4 linked regions of the Nothobranchius furzeri genome follow. The protein of the gene in region 1 interacts with the protein of each later gene in a pairwise test. Links are inferred from orthologs where the notes say so. Each region holds a gene or a part of one and is shown in the gene's direction. Other genes may lie near its edges. The genes, in order: ppfia1, receptor-type tyrosine-protein phosphatase F, ptprsa and txlna.

Region 1 (3,566 bases):
CGGGGCTCGAACCTGCAACCTTCCGATTACGGGGCGAGCATTTAACTCCTGTGCCACCGTCGCCCACAACGTCGATGCTTTGTAGGCGGTTTCCATACTGCAGGCTGACAGAATAAAACCAACAGGGGATGGAAAATGTGATAATACTCTCTATAAAAGAATAATAGAAAGTCAGTAAAATGTCCTTCCTGACTCCAAATGAATTCAACTTCTTCAGGAGGTAAAGTCGTTGCTGGCACTTTCTGAGGATGTCCTCGGTGTTGGAAGCGAATTTCAGGAGTTGATCAAAGGTGGTCCCTAGATATTTATACTCTTCAACCAGCTCCACTGGCTGTCCATGAATGATAGTGGTGGCAGCGGTAACCTGCGCTCTCTGTTTGTTTGAGAAGGACACCACCATCTCCTTAGTTTTGGTCACATTCAGCTCCAGGCATGCAGTGTCACACCAATCCACAAACTCCTGCAGGACCTGCCCGTGATAAACAGTAGGGCCTGACAGAAGAGACAGGAGCACAGTGTCATCAGCGTATTTTACCATATAACTGTCAGGCTGGATGGATCTACAGTCATCTGTATAGAGAATGAAGAGTAGAGGAGACAACACACAGCCTTGTGGGGTGCCAGTGGAGGTGTAAAGAAGGTCTGAGAGAGGAACGGAGACATAGACATTCACTCATTCCAAGGCTGGAGTTGTCTTACCTCAAATGGAAATTTAAAAACTTTGACAAGCTTCAAATACTGTTTTGGCTCTTAGAGTTGCTAGCTTGAATTAGCGCTAAGCAAGTGTGTGTTCATGGACCAGAAAACTTGACTTGATTTTTTTTTTTTTTGGAACAGATTTTTGTGTTTCTGATTAGCCGATCACTGATATGTCTGCTAAACAGACATTTTTTTGTGCATTTTTAGTAAAATGTCAATGCATTTATTAGTACTCATATCTGTACTCAGTATCAGCAAGTACTCTACAGTAATTATTCATACTTGGGTAAATAATATTGCATCAGTGATCAGTTTATCTCTGCGATATTTAAACGAACCAGAAACTCCGACTTTGTGAGCAGAAGCCTCTGGTATTTTCCATATAGGGCCGTACTCATAGGAAGTAACGAGCACTTGTTGTTTATTTTGTGTTTTAGGAGTTTGCCGCCCTAACAAAGGAGGTGAACATGTGCCGGGAGCAGCTTCTGGAGAAAGAGGAGGAGATTGCGGAGCTGAAGGCAGAGAGGAACAACACCCGGGTGAGCTCAGTGAGGACGTACCTGGAAAATTCCTGCCTGCTTCCGTTTTGATTAGAGGTGGTGATCATAACACCGCCCAACACGTCGCATTCTGTGTTATAATCTCGATCGCTGTCAGAACCCGATGGTGTGGAAAGCTGCTGAGTCGGCGTAATACGGTCACTGCAGTCGGCAGATCTGACAGCAGACGCGTTCTCGCACACCCAGCTGCTGATGGAGGCTTGTGCTAGCCTCCAGAAGCAGCTGCTGGAGATGTTTTATCAATGATTCTAACTCGTGTGTGTGTGTGTGTGTGTGTGTGTGTGTGTGTGTGTGTGTGTGTGTGTGTGTGTGTGTGTGTGTGTGTGTACAGCTCTTGCTGGAACATCTGGAGTGCCTGGTGTCTCGCCACGAGCGTAGTCTGAGGATGACCGTGGTGAAGAGGCAGGCTCAGTCTCCAGCCGGCGTCTCCAGTGAAGTGGAAGTCCTCAAAGCTCTGAAGTCCCTTTTTGAACACCACAAAGCCCTCGACGAGAAGGTATTGTTTGTGACGAGTTTGTGCGGCACCAGAAAAGGTCTGTGTGATGTTCTGACGGGTGGTTTGTGTGTCGTCTACTGAAGGTGAGAGAGCGGCTTCGTGTTGCTTTGGAACGATGCAGCGCTCTGGAGGAACAGCTCACCATCTCACACAAGGAAGTAAGATGCAGGCAGTGATCGTCACCTTTAATCTGTTTTACTGTTTGTTTTATGAATGAAACTCTGGTCTGATTCTATCAAAACTTCATGATTTGCTTTGCTTTTTTACATTTAGTTTATGAAATGACAGCAAGTACTTTTTTCAACTAAACCGTTAAAGGCCTGACGGCGAGAAATGAACAGGAACAGTTAAAGAAAGCGTCTATTTATATGTTTCTATTTCTAAACCCAGTTAAAATGTATGTTTACAGTTTTTGACGTTAGATGCTGCCCCAGACACGTTGACTCAGAAATCCAAGTGTTTCAATCATTAGACATTTATTTACTTTGAAGCTATAAACTGTTTAGAAATGATGGAGTTTTAACAGCTTTTATTTCTTTATGATGACAAAAACAAAACTGAGAAACATTTTTACTAAATGACTCCTAGTTCACATCCGTGTAACATTCACATGTGTGCTCTGTTCGTCATAGCGGTCGTCAGAAGGCCCTGGTGAGTACACCCACCTCAGCAGGTAGCGCCACGTCTGAGGCGGACGTGATATGAAAGGGTGAGGCGGGAAGTTCAGAGCAGGTGTGACGCAGTGATTTAGATTCTGTGGGACTAGCTGACCAGGAGATTTAAAAATAAATAAATAAAGAAATAAAAAACAGCCAATAAGAGAAGAGAACTGCTGAATTAGACACAAATAAAGACACGAGGAGCACATATTTGTCAGATGGATCCAAACATGGAGTCAGACTGCCCAGAGGACGTCAGACGTTTGTCCTACATTCCCTCTGAGCTGCTCAGTCTGACTCTTCCTCTTGGAGTTTGTGTCTTGGATTCGGATAAGGACGTCGACGTGTTGGATAATAGCTCACGAAAGATCAGTCTTCCTGAACCTAAAACTGTTAAACGGCTCTTCAAAAAGCTTTCAGAACTTTTTCCAGACACGATTAGAAGAAATCCTCTTTAAAATATCTGCATGTTCCGACTCTGAGAAAGATTCAGGGCTCAAACCAAATGCTGATTTTTAGATCTCATAATCATGTTTGTTTTGGTAAATAACAAAACACTTTTCTCGTGTTTTCATAACCGGAAGTGAAACCTTGCTGTAAAGGGCTGTAGGCGAGGTGCACGTGTTGATGGCTCGGTGTGATGTTTGTGCGCAGCTGGCGTTCCTCAGGGAGCAGACCAGTCTGAAGCGAGGTCTGGCCGACGGAACCAGCGAGGTCAACCACAACTCTGAAAACACGCTCAGCACCAACGGCAAGGTGAGGAGGACTCGCTGTGTAGAGAACTTTATCAGCTCCTTTAATTAATCCCATACTGGGGGGGGGGGGGGGGGGGGGGGGGGGGGGGGTTATTGTTGTATGGAGCAGATGGGCGTGGAGATGTCTCAGACTTAAATCCCGAGTATTTATTATCACGCCCACTAGATGTTTTCTGTCTGCCACAAAACTCACAGCAGCATCAAAATGAGTTATGACAGACCATAATAGCGTAGCGGTGGGAGGGTTTTGTCCCCCCTCCCCTGTCGCTGTGTTGTTTACATTCAACTACAGACGTTCAGTATCGGCGATCTCAGGTCTCGCTGTGAAAACCCTGCATTTAGATCCCAGTGAAAAATGTGTTATCTTCCCCAAATTTAGTTATTTCCTTTAATCTTT
Region 2 (4,006 bases), on another chromosome or scaffold:
TTATTATGTTTAGGGGTTCATTGCTCATGTATATGGAGCCAAATTGGTTTGGATAGCCTTTTACTCTAAGTGAAACAATAATTTAAAACAAGTTGTTTTTTTGCCTAATACCTTTATTTGGTGATCTGATTATCATTATTTAAGTGTCACAAAAAATAATGACAGAAGTAACTTTTAAGGCAGCAAATACTTTCATTGTCAACAATGCAGGTGTCGTAATTTTACTCATACATTTTGCTTTCTAAATGTTACAATGTACAATTATTACATATATAACATTACACAAATTAATTTGTGTTGAAAATGAAAATTGAATAAACTTGAAATAAAATATTTTAATCCAAACAATATGCAGGTAAACCATAATGAATATTAAATGGTTCACAAATAAACACAAAACAGTCCAAATTAGCAAGCAGACATCAAAAAGAGGTTTAAACTGCATAGTTCACAAGATTATTTTCTTATACAAATTAGCATTATGTAAATAAACTAAACCTAATGGATTTCAATCAAGCAAAACATAAACAGAATAGAAGAAAATCAATAATGTGCTTTAAAAAATAAACAAATGCCCAGAATGAATCTGCTTTGTTTGCATTTATAACATGTCTTTATTTGTTGGGGTCTTTTGGACTTTAGTGGGATTAGAGAGGGGATCGGGGGGCTTTTCCACGTCTGTGCCCATGGGTCCATTGTTTTGCTAATCCGTCCCTGTCCTGAGTCATAATCTTCTCACAAATTCACCTTATGTCTCATTTAAGATGCTGCTTTGAGCAAATGGAGAATTAAAGTGTCTGTTTTGTAGTCGTTTAAGTTTGGTGCGCGTTTTTAAGGAGGACTCGAGGACAGACACGGCAGCGGCGAGTGTAGCCGAGTGGATCCGGAAAATCCCGCTGACCGACCTGTGAGCGTTTCCACCACGGAGGCAGAGAGACGCGGTAACTGCTAGGAGAGAGACGGAACAACTCCTTCTGCGTGCGGGGCGACTGTGGACCGACTTCTGCACGCCAGTTAACTTCGAAAGAGGAGTATTTCACATTCAAGAACATAAACGCCACTTCTCCTCTCCCCGTGATTTGTTGGCACCGACATTGAACATTTGAGCGAGGTTTACGTTAACCCGTTTGCGGCGCGGAGGAGCTGCCACGAATAGATCCAGTATCCACGACCCTGGTGGGACCTCGTGTTACTTCCCCCGGAGGTGGACTCCTATCGTTCCCCCTCTGTCTTTATTCATTTTTTTCTGGGTTTGGTTCCAACTCCTCCGTTTTGGTTAATTGCATGAAGTGGGATTGCTTCAAAGTGAAGAACGGAACTAAATATTTTGTGGTTTGGAGAAGGAGAGAAATGCCAACGGCGGTGACAAAGAGGAGATTCAGTAAGTGTGTAATCTTCTCTGCATGTGAACTTGATATTCCGTTCCGTTAAGTTACCGGACTATATAAAACAATCAGAATTGTACGCAATTCCCCGAGCATGTCCGTGCTTTAGAATAGAAAAGGTGTAACGGGAGTGGTTAATTAACGCAAATGAGCTCCCGTCTTGGCAAAATACCGAGCGAACGTCAGACAGCCTCATTTAAATGTGTATATTTGCTGTTTTATTCATTCCGGCTTGCAGCCAGCAGCAACTTTTATATCAGCTCCAACTGACTGAGCGTTTGAATTGAGCAGTGCTTTTATTATTTTTCCATAATGAGCGTGCATGTGATTTAAAAACGAGGCAGAATATTAATGTCATTCACTTCGAACCTGAGTTCCCTTGCCCGCGTGCACCTCTCTGTGGGCAGCTTGACGTCGCAGCAGTCTTTGCAGGGATGCAATTTTCAACCAAGCAACAAATCTGTCAAAAAAAGCTAAATGAAATAAAAATAAATGTGCACAGGCTCCTCTGTGGGGGGTCTGACCTTACTTTGTTCTTTAATATCCTGTTGCAGCGTGATTTGCTGCTCCTATATGTATATTATGTATCATAATAATAATGACTTGACAGCAGATTTTGCGCGTGCACATCACGCGCGTGCACCCCTGCAAGCACGCGCCCTCAGGCACAGATTTGAGTTTTTGCGTTTCCATCAAGTGCAAAAGCACCTGTCATGCTTTTAAACCGTTCCCTGTTGCAGCACTGGCTCCCAGCAGGCTTCATTTGCAGAATCTGCACCTCACAGCAAATTTGTGTTTAAAAAATGTAAATATACATGTGTGTTTATGTGTGTGTGTGTGTGTGTGTGTGTGTGTGTGTGTACATGTAAATGAGTTAATCTTAGATATTGAGTGACATCATTTCCAGGTGGTATTTCTTATAATTATACAGGAGGTCTCATCGCATCAACCATTATGCCCTCATTTCTTTTGGAACCGGAAACTAGAAACCGTTTTCCAGGGTAACACACTTCTGCAGCTCCAACACACTTCTGCAGCTCCATTGCCACAGTTTATCAATACACACATTTTTAATTAAAGCTGCCACAGACACAATGAAGAGACTAAAGATGATGCAGGGTGGGTTAGTTTCTTGGAATTGCATCAGAGGCTTTCTGAAACAGAACCCAAGGCCTATGCTGCATGTTTGGTCTCTATAACCTTCAGACCCTGGCAGCTGAATAGACAGTAACAAGATGCATGTTTGCTCTATATTTGGGGTAATTTTCTATTAAACTGGCCTGCAGATTCTAACCTCTTGACTGCATTTACGTGTAGATTTAGTTTTAGTTGGATCCATCACGTGTTGATTCATGGAGTTGGACTCATTTGTGCAGCAGAACATGAAACAGCTAAATTGCTAAATGTTATTCTGTTATCTAATGGATGGATATATTTGATCATTTAAACCTGTGTTGACAGCTCTGATGGGTGTCATGCTGCTGAAGCATTAGCATTGACTAGATCGGCCGCAGCGGAGCAGTTGGATATTTTTACATAACCTTAATTCTTATTTGAAGGTTGTGAACGATATTCTAAAAACACCATTATTTAGACATGTTTCCTGAATGGTAACAACTTCCCCAAGGTTTTAGATTTACTTTAATCAAAACCCAAAGGTTATTCAAGGGAAAACACGTGACTAACATGACCGTTACTCATGAGGGATCACAGAGTGCCCCACAGTCCGTTGCTACATTTTTTCTTCTTTTGTTCCTCCGCCATAAAGGTGTTTCTGTTGGGGCTTTTGGAGCACTGCCCATGCATGGAAAAAGAGCCAAGGCCCTTAGCTGGTGACATCATTAGCAAGGCGCACTGTGGTGTGCATGCTGGAAAAATGCTAGTGAGAAACATTTGGGAAATATCAGCTCAGTTACAGCGTTGGCCCCTTAGCTGATAAAGCGCTTTAGGGTTGTGGACTAAACTTCTATTCCGATTGTAACTGATTGAGAAATATGACAAAGATGATATGCATTTTTGACCATTTTACAACCTTAAAGGTAGCCATTTTAGTACAGTTTCAAAAAAGTTTAGATATTTCAAAGAATGAAAGAAGGAAATTCACAAATGAAATTCAGATTTAAGTCGAAGGCAAAGTTAAAATGCAGAAGATGCAGCATAAGAAACATTCATTCAAAGGCTGATGAATACATGAATAAAAGCAGCTGTTAGGTTCTGACCCGGGGTTCTACCAGCTGACTGTTTCCTAAGGATCTCAGAGCCCCGCTGGGTGTATATTTTACAAGGAGATCCAACATTTAGTGTATAGGGGTAGGGGGGAATTTTCTACATTTTAAAGCATTGTAGAACCCTAAAATGTGGAAGCCCAGCACCCCAAAAAGTTCATGGAGAGCACATAACAGGAGGGAAACACCTAAAACATGCAGGATAGCAGCCCTTGGGGACCAGGGTTCCTCACCCCTGCTCTAGGAGAACCTCTTTCCTCTGCTGCTTCTGTATTTTGGTGAATCAAGGAATATTAAAGCTCAGATGCACATTAGTCCAGGTATGCCCAAATTGTGGCCCTTAAAGGGATTTTGTGCAGCCCCCAGCAGGCTGTTGATGTAGCCATACCAATTTTA
Region 3 (3,566 bases), on another chromosome or scaffold:
AATTGTTATTTGCTTGAATTTTTTGTGATGCTCTGCAATATGGAAATAATTTTGGCAGCTGTTTGCATGTCACATGAAATGGTAATGGACACAGTGATCACTCTACAATTGATGGGCTCTTCAGTGTCTCTGTTAAATACAAACTGCTTTCATATAAACTGCTTCTATGGCTTTAGTTTCTGTAAACTTGTAATATTTATGCCAGTCACTGAGAATCTTGAATTCTCATTGGTTACAATCAAGCATGTCGGACCACAATGTAAACATTAGGGCTGCATCAAACCATTTTTTGGATCATTGATGAATCGGATGGGGACTCCACTTGATTAATTGGATTAAACGAGAAAGTTTAAAAATTGTTAGGGAAACATTTTTTCTCTCCTTCCTTCACTTTAACAACACAACATGATTAGAAAACTGTTCAATAGCTTGCTAAACAACATGCTATCACCTTAATATATCCATAAATAAACTATGATCACTAAATATTAGTGTATTTCATTAACATGTTCAGTAGTAAGCTACTGGAAATGCTAATATTTAATTTCTACTATTTAAAATGTAATGGTGACTTATCTATTATGTACGGGTTAACAATAATCCAGTTTTAATTATGTTCACAGATAGACGCGTTTGTGAATTAAATGCTACAGTGGCTTGCCATTTTCCTTCAGCAGTAACCTGACTGCAGCGGTTCTGCTCCGTAGCGCTGCAGACAGCTAATGAACAGGATGATGATTGGGACTTTTCTTCAGCTTGCAGAGTTTAGATGTTCTTAGTTTCACAACTATCGTGTTTTTTCGGAACTCACTTGATCACGAGCCTGCTACCTGCTAGCATTAGCTAATCTGCTTGTAGTTACACCTTTGATCCCAAACTTTGGATGGTTTCTGCCTCCATGTCTTTGCTGGTTTCTCTGTTTTCCTCCACAGCACCTAGATTAGCACAGTGTGTGCCAGTAAAAGGCATCTTCCTTACACTATAATTACACGTGTGACATATGTGTGTTTCGTTGTGATCTGCCTCAGTCTGCTCTGCTGCCGCATCAGATGAGCTGCTCGCATCGACTGTTAAATGTTGCACAACACACACAAAAGTTGCACAACACAAAACAATTTGCGCAACACAACAAATCGATGACAAAGCTTAGCCAACACATTTCTTTATCAAATTTTATCGATTCGTTGTTGCAGCTCTAGTAAACATGTCTGATTAAACATGCTAACTTTACTGCTTTTCTTTTCTTTTTGACTTTGGAAAATGTCCAACCATGATATAAACATTGTAATTGAGATATGTTTAGCTCACATTCAACATACAATATAGTACAATGTAGTACACTCGAGTAAACATTTGTTTTCTTCTCTTTTTCTGTCTAGTACCTGGTCCACCCTATTTGTCAGTGGTTCAGAACTCAAAATCATCTGCCACTGTTCACTGGGATCCTCCAGATCTGACCAATGGAATGGACCTGCAGGGATACAGGCTACAGTTTGGACGAAAAGATGTGTCCCCTTTAGCCACCCTGGAATTTGCTCCCCAAGAGCGTCAGTATTCTGTGGGCAACATTCACCGCGGCGCCACTTATCTCTTTAAGATCTCAGCCAAAAGCAGAGGGGGCTTTGGGGAGGAGGCTGTGGCAGAGCTCACTATTCCTGAGAATAGTCCAGGGGGATACCCTCAAATGAACGAGGGCTCCAACATAACATGCTGCTCAGTGCAGCTTTCCTGGTCTCCACCAGTGCTGGCAGAGAGGAATGGGGTCATCACAGAGTACACTTTGGCCTACAAAGAAGCCGGAGCAGGAGGATCACCACTGGAACTCCGATTACCACCCAACCTTTCCAGCTTTGTGCTCAACAGTCTCAAACCGAACTCTGCATATGATGTGAAAATACGTGCCCACACCAGTATAGGTCCAGGGCCCTACAGCCCACCTATCCAGTATCGGACGGTGGCCATTGATCCTGCAGGTAGGGCTTACTTGTTTCTCTACCAACCCAGTGCCAAGGGGTTGGAAATTGACTAAAAGCAGTCTGCAACGACACAAAAATGAAAACTGTCCTCACCCACTTCTTCAACCACCTCCACTTCTCCTCAAATGGAGGATTGATTGATGTTTAAATTGCTTGCCATGGAATACTTGCTTCACTAACCCAAACCAGGTAAAATGAAAGTCAGTAAGTTATAGTCAGTCATTTTGAGAGAGGGGAGAGCAGCATAGAATTAAAGGTAAGTGACTTTTTTGGTCAGACCCTCCAGTCAGTCCTTGCAGCCTTTTTCAAGCACATCTACACAGATTTGCCATTTCACGTCCCAGTTTTCACACAAGGTAGGAGTCAATCCCAGTCTTTAGAACAGTACATTTGGAATATTTTAGGAATAAGGATTTTTTTTTTATTTTGACTTTAATTTTATTTTGGGTTTAAAATATCCTTTCCTTCCTAACACGCTTCCTCTCGAAGCCTCCTTTCCCTCTTCCCTGTCCCTGATCAGGACAGCTTGTGGCATGGCATCCCACAGATGCACTGCTCAGAACTGTTGGCATGCAGTGTTTTGGGTCTGTCTCAATGTTTGTGTGGCAGCACATTGGCAGTGCCAACTCAAACTCTGTATCATTGTCCCAACAGTTGGCATTGGGTCTACAAGGGTTAACTGTTAATCACCTGGTAGTCATGGTTCAAAGTCGGTGGGTGAGATGGGTTTGCACTACTAATGATGGCTAGCCAAAGAGCATATAACTTGTGCTCCATGGGTTTGTTGTCCTTGAGTCTCGTGTTCTCTGTGTCTAAACTAATGACATTGCCCTTCTCACAGCCAATCACTGTTCACTTTTCCTTTCACTCTTCAACTCAGAGGAACGTTGCAGGGAAAGAACAGCTTTGATTTTTTTAAAACCAAAGTTTTCGTGATTTTCTCTTATTTTTCTGCTTTTTTTCACTTAAGATGCACATTTTTTCCTTGTTTTGCATTTGTCTTTTAACAGATGTTCCTAAGAATTTCACTGTTAAGTGGGTCACCAAGACCACGGTAGTCCTTGCATGGAAATTTTCTGAAAGCAGATCTCCATACAAATGCACGGTGAGTGAAATCTTACTTTAATTTATTGCTTTCTGAAAGTCTAGCTATATAATGAAAATGATTGATTAAATTGATTTTAGCTGGAGTGTAAAAGCATATTTTGTTAAATAATACATCTTGCATTGATATCATATTTTAGCTGCGTTATTCAGTTTTGTCAAAGTGATTTAATTCTGAACAATTTGCCGATCAACCATCCACTACTTTAGATTGAGTACAATCGTCAAAAGATGGATGTGGACGCCAGGCAGTTGAAGATGTTTATCACAGGACTTAGGCCCAACACCACGTACGAGTTTAGGGTGACTTGCCAAGAAAGTATGGATGGTGGCCCTCGACACCGTGTGGTGGCCAGGACTGCACCACATATCCTGGTCAAGAAACCAAAACTGGACATCTACGCTGAGCCTGAAAACATTCTTACCATGTCCTTTCCACCAGTCAGCACCAAGGATGTGAAGTGAGTATAAAGTAATATCTTCTCT
Region 4 (4,319 bases), on another chromosome or scaffold:
GTCTTACCGGCATCCTCCCCCACCATCTGAGCCAACTCACCACCAGGTAGTGGTCAGTAGACAGCTCGGCCCCTCTCTTCACCCGAGTCAGATGAAACAACAACAAAGTCGATCATCGAGCTGCGGCCTAAGGTATCCTGTGCCAAGAGCACATATGGACACCTTTATGTCTGAACATGGTGTTCATTATGGACAATCCACAGAAGTCTAATAACAAAACACCACTCGAATTCAGATCAGGGGGGCTGTTCCTCCCAACCACACCTCTCCAGGTCTCACTGTCGTTGCCCACATGAGCGTTAAAGTCCCCCAGCAGAACGAGGGAGTCACCGGAAGGAGCACTCTCCAGCACCCCCTCCAAGGTCTCCAAAAAGGGTGGGTAGTCTAAACTGTAGTTTGGTGCATAAGCACAGACCACAGTCAGAACCCGTCCCCCCACACGTAGGCGGAGGGAGGCTACCCTCTCAGTCACCGGGGTAAACCCCAACGTACAGGCACCAAGATGGGGGCAACTAGTATGCCCACCCCTGCTCGGCGCCTCTCAGTGGGAGCAACTCCAGAGTGGTAGAGTGCCCAGCCCCTCTCAAGGAAACTGGTTCCAGAGCCAGAGCCATACGTTGAGGTGAGTCAGACTATAGCTAGTCGGAATCTCTCAACCTCACACACCAACTCAGGCTCCTTCCCCACCAGAGGTGACATTCCTTGTGCCAAGAGCCAGCTTCTGTAGCCGGGGATCAGACCGCCAAGGTCCCAGCCCTCGTCTGCCACCCGTCACACACTGCACCTGACCCCTTTGGCCCCTCCCACGAGTGGTGAGCCCATGGGAAGGGGAACCCACGTTTCCTCATCGGGCTGTGCCCGGCCGGGCTCCATGGGTGAAAACCCGGCCAGCAGGCGCTCGCCTACGTGGCCCACCTCTAGGCTTGGCTCCAGAGGGGGGCCCCAGTGACCCACGTCCGGGCGAGGGAACACGGTTTCCATTTATTTTATTCATCATAAGAGGTCTTTGGGCTGCTCTTTGTCCGATCCCTCACCTAGGACCTGTTTGCCATGGGTAACCCTACCAGAGGCATAAAGCCTCATTTAGCTCCTAGGATCATTGGGACACTCAAACCCCTCCACCACGGTAAGGTGGCAGCCCAGGGAGGAAGAGGGAACTACATTTATAAAATTTCAGTAGTTAGTACAAACACTTGCTGTAATTTTTTCTAAATAAAATGCATTTTTGTTAGTAGGTGAACTTGCTGTTTACTATTATTAAACCTTAAATTTTATATTAGCATAGGCCACATGTAAACCATAGTCTTACTAATTTACAAGACAGCTGTTCTGCAATGACAATAAATGTTTAATTGGTTTTTACCAGTTTTATCACTTTCTTGCTAGTATTTTTTTTTACATAGCAGAAAGAAGTTGGTGGCGGTAATGCACCATATCACCATTTGAAACCACCATTGAAAAGTCAAAGAAGAAGAATCAAAGTTATGACCGGAAGTTGTTTTTTTTTTCTAAGCCAGTCAGCTACACGCTGTTCAAGAAACCTGCAGCTCAGAAAAATTAGCCGTTTCCTCCTGGAGTCTTCAGGTAAACAAGTCTGTGTTAACCGTAGAGTCAGGGGAATGAGGTAACGTTTCGCGTCGCCATAGCTTTAGTAGTTTTCTGTTTTTTCTTTTATGGTACAAAGTAACACCGGTTGGGTGAAAGTAGTTCAAGACAATTTTAGCTGCGTGCGTAACTGCTAACGAGGGCTAGCCTGTGCCAGCTAATGTAATCTGGAAGCTAATGGAAACTGAAAATGGTCCGAAGTGAAAGTACACATTTGTTTTCCGTTTTGTACATAAACGCCATGTCTATGTATCCAGAAACGTGCTAATATTTTCGATTTTATGCGTGATTTTAAAGAACTTTATCGTCTGAACAGTTGGTGTATTTTATTGTCAAAGCCTTATTTAGACTCAGCGTTAGTTTCGTCTTTTATTCAAAGAGCTAAACATGAAAAATCAAGACACGGAAGAGTCTACCAGCCCGGGCAGCGAGGCTCCTCCACCTGCAGCTGGAGACACGGACGCTCCACTTCCACCTGCACCTGCTGAAGGCAGCAGCCCCAGAGAGATGGAGCCACAGGCTGGCCCTCCACCACAGGAACAGCAGGGGGAAAGCGGAGGTGAACTGCCTTTGGTTTGACTTTCTTACTCGTCCGTCACACTGTGTGAATTCTCAGTTTTAGAACAAATTAGATGAAACAGCACAAACCTAATTAATGGTTTGGTTGTCATCAGACTGAAGTGGAGAATCTTGTCAGTAATACCTGATGTCATCTGGTTTCAAGATTAACATACTAGAAGTCAAACTTTTATTGATGCAATCAAAGCTTTACTTGTACAATAAAATGGTCTTCATTCTTCACGTGTACTCAATCCATACATATCTAGATTATGTCATTTTTATTGTTATATGTCCTGATGCTGCCGACAAGTTATTTTATGCACTGATGTCATTAAACACAATCACACAGTTTAATAAACAAGAGTTTTTAAGGTTAAGAGATCCATAATAAATTAGTTTTGGGGTATTTTCTCATTACTGTAACGTTGTGTCAAGAACAAACTTACTTCAACATTTAAATAAAAGTAGGCCATCACGTCCTTGATGATATTGTGATAATTGTTTTAATGCCTCAAGTGCGATTCCTTTTAGAAGGCACATCATAAACAAATGAATCCCAACAGTTTTCCGCGTGACTGTGTGGGACACATACCATACCATACCATATTTATTTATTTATAAAGCACCATTTCAAAATAGCATGGCAGCTAACCAAAGTGCTGTACATAAAAAAAGCCAAATGCTTGACCAAGAACCACAATAAGAACAGGCAAAAAACATAAGAACAAAGCATAAATAGTCGGAGATAAAAATTCCTACTAAAAACCATAAAATAGAACAGTTAACAGCACTATAAAAATAAAATAATGCGACGAATAATAAAAACATTTGAAATGTCCCAAATAAACCGAAATAAAATACCAGATGGTGCGAGGTGCCAAAAGTGAGCAACTAAATCATAAAAATGGAATTAAAAACTCAAATCCGGTGCTAGATTGTCATGAAAAGTGTCACGGAGGCAAGGCAATGCTAAAGAAGTGCGTTTTCAGGGCCGACTTGAAACTGCTAACAGAGGGAGCCAGACGCACACGGAGGGGCAGGGAGTTCCAGAGTTTTGGGCTGAATAAGAGAAGGCACGCTCCCCCCGTGATTTGTACCAAACCTTCGGAACAACAAGCAGCAGATGATCTGCTGACCGAAGGGCACGGGTGGGAACATATGGGGTCAGCAGGTCCATCAGATAGGATGGGGATGGGCAGTACAAAGCCTTGTAAACATATAACAGGACCTTGAAGTTAATCCTAAATTAGACTGGGAGCCAGTGTAAATCTGCGAGGATGGGTGTGATGTGCATGCGTCTGTCGGTGTTGGTTAAAAATCTGGCCGCGGCATTTTGAACCTTCTGCAGTTTGCTTAAGGCTGAAGCATTAATCCCAATCAGGACAGAATTTGCGTAATCCAGACGTGAAGTAATGAAAGCATGAATGACTGACTCAAGATGCGGGCGTTTGAGGATTGACTTAAGACGAGTGATGCGGCGGAGTTGGAAAAAGCAGGACTTGACAGTAGCGTTGACTTGTGAAGACATTGAAAGGTCAGAGTCCAGTGTCACACCTAGGCTAGTGGCACCTGATTTGAGATTGAGTGGGAGAGTTGAGACATCTAAAGCACCATTCATGTTAGTGGGGCTAAAAAGTATGGCATCTGATTTGCTGTCATTTAACCGTAGGCAGTTTTGAGAAAGCCAGGATCTGACCTGGGAGAGGCATTCTGACATTATAGAAAATGAGTGCTGTTGGTTGATTTGAAGGTAGATCTGGCAATCATCTGCATAAAAGTGGTAGTTAACCCCGACGAGACTTGCTAAAATCTTACCAAGTGCTAGTATGTAAATTGAAAAGAGGAGAGGACCCAGGATGGAGCCCTGTGGTACTCCCCATGGAAGTGGGACATTGGGAGAAGAGCAGTCTCTAACATGAACACTAAAACACCGACCATTAAGGTACGACTTAAACCATTCCAGGGCAGTACCGGTCACACCCACCCAAAATTGGAGTCTGTGAAGTAGGATGCTGCGGTCAGGTCGAGTAAGAGTAACCGCACATGGGAGCCAGAGTCAGTCAGAATCAGGATGTCATTGAGTACCTGAATGTGTGCAGACTCTGTGCTGTAATTACGTCTAAAACCTGACTGGAATGGGTCAAGAAGCCCAC

What was found.
Region 2: the proteins of ppfia1 (region 1) and receptor-type tyrosine-protein phosphatase F interact in a two-hybrid assay, tested with the Homo sapiens proteins (2 studies listed by BioGRID). The link is inferred for Nothobranchius furzeri from reciprocal best matches to the Homo sapiens genes PPFIA1 and PTPRF.
Region 3: the proteins of ppfia1 (region 1) and ptprsa interact in a two-hybrid assay, tested with the Homo sapiens proteins (2 studies listed by BioGRID). The link is inferred for Nothobranchius furzeri from reciprocal best matches to the Homo sapiens genes PPFIA1 and PTPRS.
Region 4: the proteins of ppfia1 (region 1) and txlna interact in binary tests that used the Homo sapiens proteins (3 or more experiments, as listed by UniProt). The link is inferred for Nothobranchius furzeri from reciprocal best matches to the Homo sapiens genes PPFIA1 and TXLNA.

Annotation. Positions count from the first base shown.
Region 1 is NC_091749.1:65,271,921-65,275,486, reverse strand, and holds part of ppfia1 (liprin-alpha-1), read left to right. Parts: intron 1-1,136; coding exon 1,137-1,238; intron 1,239-1,590; coding exon 1,591-1,755; intron 1,756-1,838; coding exon 1,839-1,913; intron 1,914-3,068; coding exon 3,069-3,170; intron 3,171-3,566. UniProt on the Homo sapiens protein: May regulate the disassembly of focal adhesions. May localize receptor-like tyrosine phosphatases type 2A at specific sites on the plasma membrane, possibly regulating their interaction with the extracellular environment and their association with substrates.
Region 2 is NC_091751.1:44,754,014-44,758,019, forward strand, and holds the start of receptor-type tyrosine-protein phosphatase F, read left to right. Parts: upstream 1-1,158; 5' UTR 1,159-1,381; intron 1,382-4,006. UniProt on the Homo sapiens protein: Possible cell adhesion receptor. It possesses an intrinsic protein tyrosine phosphatase activity (PTPase) and dephosphorylates EPHA2 regulating its activity.
Region 3 is NC_091748.1:63,780,113-63,783,678, reverse strand, and holds part of ptprsa (receptor-type tyrosine-protein phosphatase S), read left to right. Parts: intron 1-1,379; coding exon 1,380-1,973; intron 1,974-2,986; coding exon 2,987-3,081; intron 3,082-3,290; coding exon 3,291-3,541; intron 3,542-3,566. UniProt on the Homo sapiens protein: Cell surface receptor that binds to glycosaminoglycans, including chondroitin sulfate proteoglycans and heparan sulfate proteoglycan.
Region 4 is NC_091751.1:3,230,680-3,234,998, forward strand, and holds the start of txlna (alpha-taxilin), read left to right. Parts: upstream 1-1,471; 5' UTR 1,472-1,484; coding exon 1,485-1,584; intron 1,585-1,984; coding exon 1,985-2,164; intron 2,165-4,319. UniProt on the Homo sapiens protein: May be involved in intracellular vesicle traffic and potentially in calcium-dependent exocytosis in neuroendocrine cells.